Tribolium castaneum: one gene and its partner. The protein of the gene in region 2 interacts with the protein of the main gene of each other region in a pairwise test. Links are inferred from orthologs where the notes say so. Each region holds a gene or a part of one and is shown on either strand. Other genes may lie near its edges.

What was found.
Region 1: the proteins of Polr1C (region 2) and Polr1D interact in a two-hybrid assay, tested with the Drosophila melanogaster proteins (2 studies listed by BioGRID). The link is inferred for Tribolium castaneum from reciprocal best matches to the Drosophila melanogaster genes Polr1C and Polr1D.

Annotation. Positions count from the first base shown.
Region 1 is NC_087402.1:7,144,198-7,150,163, forward strand, and holds Polr1D (DNA-directed RNA polymerases I and III subunit RPAC2), read right to left. Parts: upstream 2,368-5,966; 5' UTR 2,254-2,367; coding exon 2,239-2,253; intron 2,188-2,238; coding exon 2,087-2,187; intron 2,037-2,086; coding exon 1,835-2,036; 3' UTR 1,799-1,834; downstream 1-1,798. Other genes in the region: testis-specific serine/threonine-protein kinase 1, read right to left, coding at 679-1,767. UniProt on the Drosophila melanogaster protein: DNA-dependent RNA polymerase catalyzes the transcription of DNA into RNA using the four ribonucleoside triphosphates as substrates.
Region 2 is NC_087396.1:18,339,676-18,346,208, reverse strand, and holds Polr1C (DNA-directed RNA polymerases I and III subunit RPAC1), read right to left. Parts: upstream 3,819-6,533; 5' UTR 3,707-3,818; coding exon 3,644-3,706; intron 3,595-3,643; coding exon 3,294-3,594; intron 3,247-3,293; coding exon 3,127-3,246; intron 3,082-3,126; coding exon 2,668-3,081; intron 2,619-2,667; coding exon 2,509-2,618; 3' UTR 2,428-2,508; downstream 1-2,427. Other genes in the region: proteasome activator complex subunit 4, read left to right, coding at 1-82, 127-853, 1,469-1,905, 1,955-2,164, 2,211-2,345; N-acetylneuraminate lyase A, read left to right, coding at 3,826-4,077, 4,124-4,463, 4,512-4,657, 4,703-4,871, 4,919-5,064, 5,110-5,281, 5,325-5,467; Rab8 (ras-related protein Rab-8A), read right to left, coding at 6,417-6,512.

The DNA of each region.
Region 1 (5,966 bases), on a different chromosome or scaffold from region 2:
ATAGGAACTTTAGTTTGCACATAAATAAGAAAGGAGGAAAATAGTGAAAGTAATAAATAAGAATTTTGCAAAACGTGATATAAAAAAGTTGTTGTACTTGATAAGTTTTATTACGTGTAAAATTAACACTCGTATCTCTGATATACTTTATATACCTGATATACTCTGTATACTCGTAAATGTAGCAACTCAATAGATAAATATTTAGTGACTATAAAATACTAAGAAGTTTTTTATTGTTCACTTAAGACAACATCATGTACCAGTCTGCATTTTTTTATTATGAATGTCCTGATTTTAAATTTTTCAAAGTTGGTTATCTAATTTAAGTTCTAAAAAGACTTACAGAGCCGCCCAAACTATAGATTCGTTTATTAATTTTTATCGGTGGTTTATTATCGGGAAAAAATAGTTTAACCAAAATGCTTGAATATAGAGATAATGCCAATAGGTTTTTTTTAAAGGAAATTAACTTTAATTTAATTAACTATAACTTTTTTATCTCTACATTAGTTTTCGACAGAATTTTCGCATTACCTTAATTTCAGTCTGTAACGTTGTTAATTACCTTGCGCTTGCCACCATTTAAACAGAACAATTTATTTATTTCAATGCCTTTGAAACAAAACTCATTTTAAATATTTATTACCACATAAAACTATCGGACTGTTCGTTTTTTCAATCCTCCGCAATCATGCTGGGGAGACTCATCGTGGCCAACTTGTTGGTCTCCTGCGTCTCGACTTCTTTTTTCAACACCGAAACTTCTTTCGAACCGTCGCCTTTGATGGCTTTAGGTCCCGATTTCTTCCTCAGATTGTCCATATATTTTTTACGCTCTTCCTGGGCATGGACCATGGCCGCCTGTTCCGCTGGGTTCAACTGGGCCAGCCGTGGGTCCATCCCGAACCAATCCGACGCCAAAATCTGCTCGATCTTCCACCGCTTGGACGTGTCCGGCTCTAGGAGGTGGCTCATGAGACGCTTCACCTCCGAACTTATCACATCGACGACTTTCGACCGGAATTTCCACTGTCGGTTCATTTGTTGCTCGTGGAGTCTTTTGATATTTGTGTCGTCGAAAGGCATGGCTTTGTTAAGCATGATGTATAAGACAACTCCAAGTGACCAAATATCGGCGATTTTGGGGTGATAGGGCGAGCCTTTGAGGATTTCGGGGGCTGCGTAGCTCAAAGACCCGCAGTACGTGTCACTGGTCAGTTTTTTGCCGTAGGCGTCTGTCACGTATCTCGCGAATCCGAAATCGGACACTTTTAAGTTATAATTACTGGTGATTAAGGCATTTTCACATTTTAAATCCCGGTGCGCTATCTCCATATCGTGCAAATATTGCACAGCTAGGGCTAGCTGTCGCATCCAAACCCGCGACTGTGCCTCCGAAATCGAGCCTTTTTTCAAAATAAACTCGAGCAAGTCGCCGTTTTCCGCATACCTCATGAAAATAAAGTACTTTGATTTGCGCTGAAAAATGCTGTGGACGTGTATCAAGTGCGGGTGATTGATTTTGACCAAAATATCCAGCTCGCGCGGCAGGAACTTCTTGACAAAATCGCGGGGGGCTTTCGTTGTGTCGACTATTTTGCAGGCCAATTGCCGGGGCTTGTTTTTCTCGTCCCCGGCGGTGCCCTTGTACTCCGCAAGGTACACCTTAGCATAGGAGCCCTCACCGAGGACTTTGAACAGTCGGTAGCCTCTGGACGAAAGCGTGAGTTCCTCGGAAGCAGTGTGTTCCGGTGGTTTCGCCATAAGTACATTGGGACAGGAATTTAGACAAACATTTTGATTAATAAAAAATGACGTTTATTCAAAAATGTTAAGTTGACAATTCGTCTCTACTGTCGAAGTTTTGTTTCTCGCGTGTGAACTCGTCCAGAATGTGGTCGGAGAGGGCTGCCAGGTCCTCCAAGCCTCGTTTGAGGGCGTCCACAGCGCGGCCTGAGCGCATCTGAATGCGGAGGTGCATTGAACATTCCATGGGATGGGGGACTGTGTAAGCGCAAAATTCGACGTCAGGACTGCAAAAATGATTTAAGAGAGGGGTTTGGATGAGTCTGGAGCGCATTACTAGCCAGAAATGACACATCTGAGAGCGTTGCCTAAAGTGTGACCCTCGCCTTGTAGAATGAACGTTCGGCAGGATTCGTCTGTGTCTTTGGTTCCCAGGAGCTGAAGTAACGTGGTTTTGATTGATGTCATACAGAAAATAAGACAATTTACCTGTGTGATTGGCATTTTTTAAGTGGGGTTAGGTCCTAGAATAACACTAACGGAACATAATGGTTGGCAATAAATTCCTAGCTGAAGCCATCTAGCCGCATCATCACGTACTAAAAATGGCGCAAATTTAAAATAATTCCGATTACTTTGTATTTTTTTAATTTTTGCTCATGTCAAAATGATGTCAAAACCTTATCAAATAAAATTATTGAAAATTTCCTAATTGTATTTGAAAAGGTGGATGCACAGACAGCACAGATGGAAGAATTTTACCCAACATGACACGATCACATTTAATGTTAAAGATATTTATTAAATCCATTAAGTTTACAAAACTAATAGTCGTCACCGAATCGATGATAACGACATACTTGCAATCAGCCAAACTGGCACCGGTCTGGCACCTTATGTTTGCAACTTCTGTCTATGGGAGTCTTCTCGCAGTGTGACTCACTTGCGGTTCGATCTCAAAAAACTCACTTTTGGGAAAAACGCACCTATCTACGTAAACCTTCTGGAGCTCATTACTACGTTATATTTTTAGAGATCATGTTGTTCCTAACCGATAGTAGGCAATAGTCTAACCCAAACACGACACCTTGATCCACTACCTTAATAAAACTTTGAAAAATTAACGTGATATTATAAAAAATAAACTCAAATTTTGCTGACGTTTGTGAAATTTTTACTTGTCAGCTGCGCATCGGTACCACGTTTTTCTTCAATAATCTGGAATTTTAAATCCGCCAATAGGACTTCTTTTTCCCGTAAAACACTGGGGCCATCTATCCTCATCATCAGTAAAACCTATTTCAATTAGGGTTCGATTCGTAAAACCTGTTATTCTGTGGATTGGGCTATATCAGTTCGGGATGCCTGGTTGTATCCCTTAAAATCAACAAAAATGGCGATTCAAGTAAAAAGTGAGTGAAAATAAAAATTATTTTTCTAATGTTATTTTCAATTTGCACAAGAAAATTCATAGTGTACGGTCATCAGGGCACTCAGAGGAATCGTTTGGTGTAAGTTTCAGCTTGAAAATCCAGAAGTAGTTAAAGTAAAAAATTACCAAGTTATACTTTATGTTTTATTACGTGGTAAAGTTAACAACACACGTTAACATACCCTTTATAAACGTTTAAACACCCTTTTTCATGAAAAGGTTGACATGAGAAGTGCATTTTTCAATAAATCTCACTGAAATTTATGTCGTTGACTCAAGGTAGATTTGTCTGTCCTTAAACATGTTCAATAATAATTAATAGCGCTCTAGAAGAGCAGGAAAGCACACAAAAAACATTAAAGTTAAAATTTAACACTTCAGAAGAGAGCATAATACACCCTAACCCTACTTTCTGAACTTTTGTCCTTATCTGGCAATAGCACATAATAAAGGTAGAGATTTCGACCCTAAATATCCTATCATAACGCTCTGAAAGGGCAGAGATGGAGACAACATTCATAAAAGTGTAAATTTTGTCATTTTCGGGTGACAACATAACCCTACTTTTGGAACCTACCGAATTTTCAACAAAACGAAACAAACAAACAATGTGGCTATACGCATTGCGATACCACTAATTTTCGCACCAAAATTTCACATTGCCAGTTTCTGTTTAAATAAAAACATGCATTTTTATTTTTCCATTGACTGCATGCGAAACTTTTATAATTTTAGACGTTTATAGGCAAATACATTTGTTATTATTAATTTTTTTAGATCAATGCTGTTCTATTTTGAATAATTCTGTGTATGAATGTTTCTAAATTTGACGGATTTTACCAGTGAATATTTCTGGTAATGACCTGTTTTATACTTGTGACGTCACATCCGTGACGTGTCCCGAGGTTAGGTGTGCGGCGCAGGCGGCGAGAGCGCTTCAGTCGACAGCGAGCAGTGGCACGGGTCAGATCGGGAGCGGGAGCGGGAGGCGAGGCGAAGCGAGGTGAGTCGGTTTATTTAAATTATTGTGTATTGTGCGGTTTCGTTCAATTTATTCAGTTTGTTACTTGCCGTTGTTGCGAAGGGACGTGTGCTCAAGCAAATCTAAATTTTCCGGTTTAAATTTTCAATTCGGTGACTAGTGATCGCGTTTGAGTGACACATTTTAAATACAGTAAATAAAATTATAATCAAACACTGAAATAATTTATTGCCACGTAATAATTTTGTCTTTAATTTCAATGAATGAAAGTGGCTTGCTCAAAATTTAATGCAAATAAACATTTTTTTTGGTTTCATTTTTATTATTATTTTTTTAATGCTACAAACGGTAGCCAACGTGGAAGCGATATGAAGGTAAGTGCATTTATTTACTGAGGTATTGAATTTGATTTGAATTTGAATTGCCACAAATTGAAAGGTATTGTGAATTTTTTATTTTGTTTAATATTGACAAACGTTGCTTGTTGTAACTATCATGCAAATAAAGATTTTTATTGGTGTTGTTTTAATTTTTTAAATGTCTTGCTACAAACAGTAGCCAACGCAGAAGCCATATGAAGGTAGGTGCAATTTTTTGCGTTTTATCTTGTGATGTGTTGATTTAATAGCTTCTGTGCCATATATTATACCGTATTGTGTATCCTTTATTCTGTATAATATTTATTAAAGTCGCTTGTTGTAACTTTCCTACAAATTAATTTTTTTGTTGGTTGTGTTTTTAATTTATTTTTTAGGTTTTGCTACAAATGGTAGCAGATGCAGTACAAAAGGTAAGAGCATTTATTTAACGCCAAGTGAAAAAGCTTTGATTTTTGTGTACTATTTTTTCATTTCACAAACCAATAATTCCTTTATTCCCTTCATTTGAAATAATCATTGTTTACCTCATCCTTATATCCTTTTTTCCTGGCAAGAATGCTCTAAACCTCCACGTGGTTCTTGCCGGACAAATTAGTTATTGACTAATTTGACCAATTAGAGCAATCCTTAAATATAACATTGTTGATTGTTTTTTACAGCCGTAAAATTATGTCGCTTGTTGTAATTTTCATGCAAATAAAGATTTTTTATTGGTGTTGTTTTTAATTTTTTTTAATGCTACAAACGGTAGCCAACGTGGAAGCGATATGAAGGTAGGTGTATTTTATTGCTGTGTGCTGTGTATTTATTTATTTCACAAACCAATAATTTCATAAAACTTAAATGCAATTAAAATCTTTAAATGCGATGTTGAAAAGTGATATTTTGAGTGACACATTTTAAATACAGTAACTATAAATAAAATAAAACACTCAAATTATTTATTGCCACGTAATAATTTTGTCTTTAATTTCAATGAATGAAAGTGGCTTGCTCAAAATTTAATGCATATAAACATTTTATTTTGGTTTCATTTTTATTATTTTTTTTAATGCTACAAACGGTAGCCAACGTGGAAGCGATATGAAGGTAGGTGTATTTTATTGCTGTGTCGTATTTATTTATTTCACAAACCAATAATTTCATAAAACTTAAATGCAATTAAAATCTTTAAATGCGGTGTTGAAAAGTGATATTTTGAGTGACACATTTTAAATACAGTAACTATAAATAAAATAAAACACTAAAATAATTTACTGCCACGTAATTTTGTCTTTAATTTCAATGAATGAAAGTGGCTTGCTCAAAATTTAATGCAAATAAACATTTTTTTTTAGTTTCATTTTTATTATTTTTTTTAATGCTACAAACGGTAGCCAACGTGGAAGCGATATGAAGGTAGGTGTATTTTATTGCTGTGTCG
Region 2 (6,533 bases):
AGACCAATTCATTAAATATTTCTCAATGGAGGAGAAGAAAGGGAAAGACCAGTTCAACGCTTACAAGTTCCTCCTGTTCAAGGTTAGTTGCGTGTATTTGATTTCTGTTTCATAGAACATTTTTAGAACCTGTTCAAACTTTTCGAAGACAAGCTCCTTGACCCCATCATTCCCCACTTGGAGAAGCTCGTGGCTGATAAAAACGAGTCGTCGCAACGTTGCGCTGCTGAGATAATCAGCGGTTTAATCCGCGGTTCGAAGCATTGGAGTTTTGATAAAATCACCAAACTTTGGTCAGTCCTGATCCCGATCCTCGAAACTGCAGTTGTGAATATGTGTAGCGAAACCATGACCGACTGGGGCCTCAGTATGGCGATGGCTTTGGACTCCAGAGACCCCAACCGCTACCATTGGATCTTGGAATACCTGGTCAAAGATCCACTCTCCGACCAAACATCGTTTGTGGCCTGTGGGCGCCTCCACATGCTCCATGCAGCCCTTAACCAACAAACTTGGAGAAATAACGAACTGTCAGTTCGCTTGTTCGACTACTTCAAACAGCACTTGTCGCACCCTTTCCAGAATATCAGGGACAAAATTAGTAGTTGTCTGACGATGATTTTTTCCAAAGATTTGATTTTCCCCGATGATGCTAACGATACGAATTCGGCGGGAATTAAGGCGTTTTTCAAGGAGATAATGCCCACACTTGACAATTTGTACAGTTACACTTTGAGCAAAATCGAAAGTAAGGATAATCCAATGGATACGTCTGAAGTATCAAAAGATATGCAAGGACTGTCGCTCGAAAACGACGAAGTTCGAGAAAATGCCATGAGGTTGTTCAAACTAGGTAAGAATTACGGAGAACTATAACTTAGGAGACGAAATGAGATCACAGAAATCACAGAACTTTCTGAACTCACGGAGTAGTGCAAATTGGTAAACGTTTGAAATTTTTTTAAATATAGTTTACGATAAATTTTTTGCATTATGTTTATATCTTACTATTAAGAATTTAATGCTTTATCTGCCTCTATTTTTTGTGTGGTATTCATTATACAAATCCAAACATTTTTTCAAATTCATTGCTCTACAAACGTAGACGTACAATGGACGTAATGGAACAACTGCGCTCTATAGCGACATTAACGAAACTATCGAGTACGAAAACATTTTATTTATACGTCGTTTCATACCCCTACCTTAAAATATCCGTAGTAAGAATCTAAAAAATATTCTAGAATGAAAACCAAATCTAGCCGGCGCATCCACCAAAAATGATAGCAGTTATGTGACTGTACGATGACTAATCGGCACTGGTTTAATTTTTCTATTTAAGAATATGTTTTTAGGCTTTTAATTGTTATTTGGAAAATCGGAGCCTTGTGTGATTCTGTAATTGTTTCTAATGTTTTGTTTTGTAATGTAATCAGTCAGGATGCAATAATAAAAGGCATGTTTTCAGTTTCAAAATACGTGACATCGAGTGTTGTAAGAATGAACTACTCCACGCTGCCTGAATATTTCGAGATTTTGCCACTGTCGTGTGTGCTTCAAAGCAACGACACCGACGACGAAATCGCCCCAATTTGCTCGAGTTTGCTCGCAGTTTTGGCCTACACCATAACTATTGACAAATACATGCCTTCGGCCCTTGAAGCAATAAGAAAAGTTGCCACTTGTCCGTTCTGGTCGGCTCGTGCGGTTATAACCGAATTCATGTCCGGTTTTGTATTCCACAATATGCCCACGATTATTTCGAAAAAGGAGTGGGTACTAGATATACAACACATGGTGCTAGAACTACTCGAAGATGTTCAACCTGAAGTTAGAGTTAGTGCTAGTCAAGTTTTAAGCGGTCTTTTGCACTGCCAATTTATTCCAAACCCTCAAGAATTATTAGTAATTATTCGGGTTCTTAGTTTATCGTTAAATAATTCGTGAATTCTAGGCGCAATTTAAACAGAAAGCGAAAACTAAATTGAAGAAGAAAAATTTGAACAATTCAAACAGTTTGAATCTTAGTACTTTAAGATTTAGACATGCTGGAGTTTTGGGCTTGTGTGCTTTTATCAATAGCCATCCATACGACGTACCTGACTTTTTACCGGATGTTTTTGGACAATTAGGACCCCATTTGAACGACCCCCAACCCATTCCTGTGAGTCACACTTTCGTCGTTTAAAAAAATAATTAATAATTTTTAGGCAACAATTCGCAAAACCTTGGGAGATTTCAAGCGAACGCATCACGAAAACTGGGAAATCCACAAACTCAAATTTACTGAGGAAGAACTGTTAGTTTTAAGTGATCTCACAGTGCCTCCCAGTTATTACGCCTAGGCAATAATTTTCCGATTCCAGTCAATTTACAATTTAATTTTTTACTAGACAATAGGTGAAGGAAGGTTTAAGGTAGCAAAAATTTACGCGTCAAATGTTTTTTATTTTTAACCTTGTTCATTATATTTTTTGTGGTTTGATAAAAGTATATTAAGTGAAATGTTTATACATGACTTAATTCATCTAATAAAGCAAGACATTTGTCTTTTAATATTTTAACAGCTTCCATGAATATCACATCAGGTGGTAAAGCCCCCACAGATTCGACCGTAACTAAATTACAATTAATAAAAACTGAAAAAGTAAATAAAAAAAAACTTACAAATGAAATGATCCTGAATTTTGGTCATCGCTACTGCGTCCTTGAGGTCTTCATAACGGAAAACATTCCGACTTCCTGTATCATACCTCGCATTAGCTACAACAGCGTATTTGCGGCCTTTTTCATGTCGGATTGAAATCACACCGGGAGAGAAACATTTTTGGAGTCTCTCAGCTGCTTCACCTTCCACTTCTCGTAATAATTTTATGTCGGGAAGAAGGCGATAAAATGCGGTTGCGACAGGAGAAAATTTCGCATGGTCTCGCCCGTTGCTCTTGACTGCTAATAATTTTAAATCTAACTCATGGCCTGGCCTCATTTTGGCAATGAGAATGTCAGGGTGGATGGGGCCCACGTCACTAAACCGCTCCTTCTGTTTACCAATGGGCACCCATTTGATGTGTTTTGAATACACTAAAATTATTGCAATTTTTATTGTTTCTCAAACGGGGTAATTACCATTATTGTTTTTGTACATATCTTCAGCTCGCAGTGAGTCTTTACTGCTGTCTTTATTATTGGTACATTTAATTTTTAACGCAAACTCTAGAGTATCCTGTTCGGTACCTTCAGCAGTTGCTGTAAAAATATTGTAACGTTTGGAACGGCAACATTACAAGACTTACGATCAGTTTTCATTTCAAATAATCGGGGGTCGGCCTTTAGCGGTATCAGGCCTAAACGATGGGCCAAAACTTCGTCTTGGATTATAGACGTGTTATTAAGAATGTGAACCTTTTCAATGGCCATTGTGGGGACATCACTCAACATTAACCTTCTGAAAGTGTTTGCTAGGAACGGGTGAATCCCTATCAAGTCAAATTCGAGTTCATTCTCTTCACTTCGCACAATCACCACCCTAAATCTCTTCTTAAAGGTTTTCAAGTCCCATTTCTCGTCCAAAACAGTTGGTTCCGAGGGCAAATTCTTCAAAGGATGTTTGAAGGAATTTAATACAAAATAATAAAGGACATACCTGCGTCACTTTATATTCTCCTAAAATCACTCGAGGCTTTTCGTCATTCAGAATATTATCCATTTTAAACTTGTTTCAAAAACTTGGATAACCTCAAACAACGCACGTTTTTCGTAAAAATGACTACCAACCTTACCGTCCTTACCACCCAAAAGCCACTTAAAATGTCAGCTTTTTAGGTTATGTTTTGTGAAAAATATAAACAATTTTTGAAAAATATGACGAAACCCGAATGCTCCAAACAGGAAGCTTCAAACACGAAAAGCAAGGCTGAAAAAGACTCACAAATAAGCACACCTGAAACGGCTAAGGCTCTGTTTGCCGATTTTGTGCCAGAAGAGTCAGACAGCGAAGAAGAAAATGAGAAACAAGACGACAAAAAAGACGAAAATCTTGAACCAGCGTCAAAGAAATCACGAGACAGTAACTCGAAGGTAAGTCACCAGTACACCAAATGAAAAACCAACCACCTTCCCGCAGAAATACATACCAAAGTACAAAAAAGAATGGGAGAATAAACCCGAATTGAAAGCATGGTTATCAGAGAGCATACATGGAAATACGTATTTCTACTGCAAATTCTGTAAAAAGGATTACAGATGCGGGATTTCCGACATTCACAAACACATGTCGTCAAAGAAACATGCCCTCAAAGCGGCAATGCCTGCATTCAAGGCACAGAAATTTAAATTTCGGGGGCTTTTGTGCCCCGTCTTTACCCCATTTACTAACTTAAAAAGAGTGACACCTGATGTAAACCTTAAGGCTATACCAAAATACGCAAATTTTTTAAAAGCTTGCAATATTAAAGGAATTTTAAGTATTTCGCAACTCTAGAAAATGAATTAAATTAAATGGTCAATTTTAGTTAATGACATAACCGGGGAAGGAATGTCCTTAACCATTCATGAAAGAATAGATTTGGCGGACGCGTGGGCTGACGCTTGTGAAAAAACAAATCAGTTTTTGATGGCACAAATCGGGGGAGCCCCCCTCAAAGACGTTATAGAAATGGTAGTTTAAACATTTGTTAAAACTGTTAATATTTTTCATTTGTAGGCAAAACACGCCGCTAAGAGGGACATCGGCGCTGTTGTAATCCTCCCCGACCTTTACAACAAACCAAAAAACCACCTAGACCTAATCAAGTACATAAAATTAATATCAGAATTTACAAAAAACGTCCCCATTCTCTATCACCACAATCCCAAGTTTACGCAAGTTGAAAGTAAGCGTTTCGAACGATGAACAAGACACGAAAAAATTCATTTTTAGTTGATATTACGTCGTTTCTGCTGGATATAACGGGAGAAGTGGATTCGTTTGTAGGCGTCATTTATAGCACGAATGATATACAACAGAGCACCGCTGCTATGGCGGTAAATAGGGAAAAGTTTACCGTTTTTATGGGCACCGACGAAGTAGGGGCTTTATGGCCATATCTCCCACTTAATTTCCACTTTTAGGCAATTTTGGGGGCTGCTGCGAGCGGTTTTACGTGTATTATGGGCACAAGTCTGAACTTTTTACCAAAACTGGTTGAATCCATTTGTGTGGCTGTGCGAGAAGGGGAGATAAAAAGCGCCCAAACGTCACAGAATTTACTCAACAGGACGATAGATGTGATTGCGAAACAAGGTAAAAGAATAGTCCGCTTAACGTGGTTTAATATGTTGTTTAGGCGACTACATAGCGGCCTCAAAGGCTGCAACTGACATCATTACTAGCACTTGCGGCACAACCACCAGAGAGCCTTTGCAGACGTTATGGGAAGGCACGACAAAGAAACTCCAATGCAAATTGCGCGAACTTGGTGTTATGTAAGTCATTTTTATATTTTTACACATTCATTTATAAAACAATAAATTACAAGACTCTACTCGCTTTATTATTCATAAAAACGCAATTAAAATGAAACATCCTGGATATTTCCGTCATTTTATTTACTTAGTGTAATCGCTAAACCTAGAGGGCGATAATTCTTAAACAATTTGTGAAATGTAAATATACAAACGTACAAAATCTAGTCTCCTTTAATATCTTTTTTGCAACGAAACTTGATATACAATTTTTTGTAAACGCCCAACAAAGAATTTTTCAATAATACTTTGGACAAGAAAAACGAAAATAATTTATGTACACAAATAAAACGGACTGATTTCCATCGGGTTGTTCGATTTATCTACTATTAAAAAATGAATAAAGACATAACTAGTTTTTAAAAAATATAAATGAATCGCAATCACAACAAAGAATCCTTGAAACAATACCCTTAATGGCCGTTGAAAACAGTAATTGACATATCATTTTTATGAGAAGGTCTGCAACCGCCATCAAGAATACAATCGTCTTTAATTTAATGTGCACACGTATAAATATACCTATAAATTATCTAAAAAAATACAACGGTAAAAAAAATAATTACCCTTAATCACATAAGTATTATCAAGGTCGCTGACATACCATCCGGTGTTTTGTGAGGGAAAACGGGGCCTTCAAACCGAATCATAAATAACAAAGTATATCATTCACTTGTGCATTTCTCAACGAAAAGTTGGTCCCTTTCGCCTGATTTAAAATTGAACGACTTCGATTAAGTCACAAAACACCGAACGACATGTCGTGCCGACTATTTACACAACACACCACAACCTGATGACCTCTGGTACCAAACGAAGCCTACCACCCTTGAGAAACGACAAGAATCGACTCTCCCTTTAAGGCTGTGATGTGAACGATTAGTATATAAGGGCGTTTAAACTCCGCCGATTGGTCAGAGTAGGGTGCATCGAGACAGCCAATTCGTTGGCTTTCGTTGTGGTTCTGTGGCTTTCAGCTGGTGGCCGCCTTTCGGGGGATTGCTCGCCTCCTAGTCACACAACGGACAAAA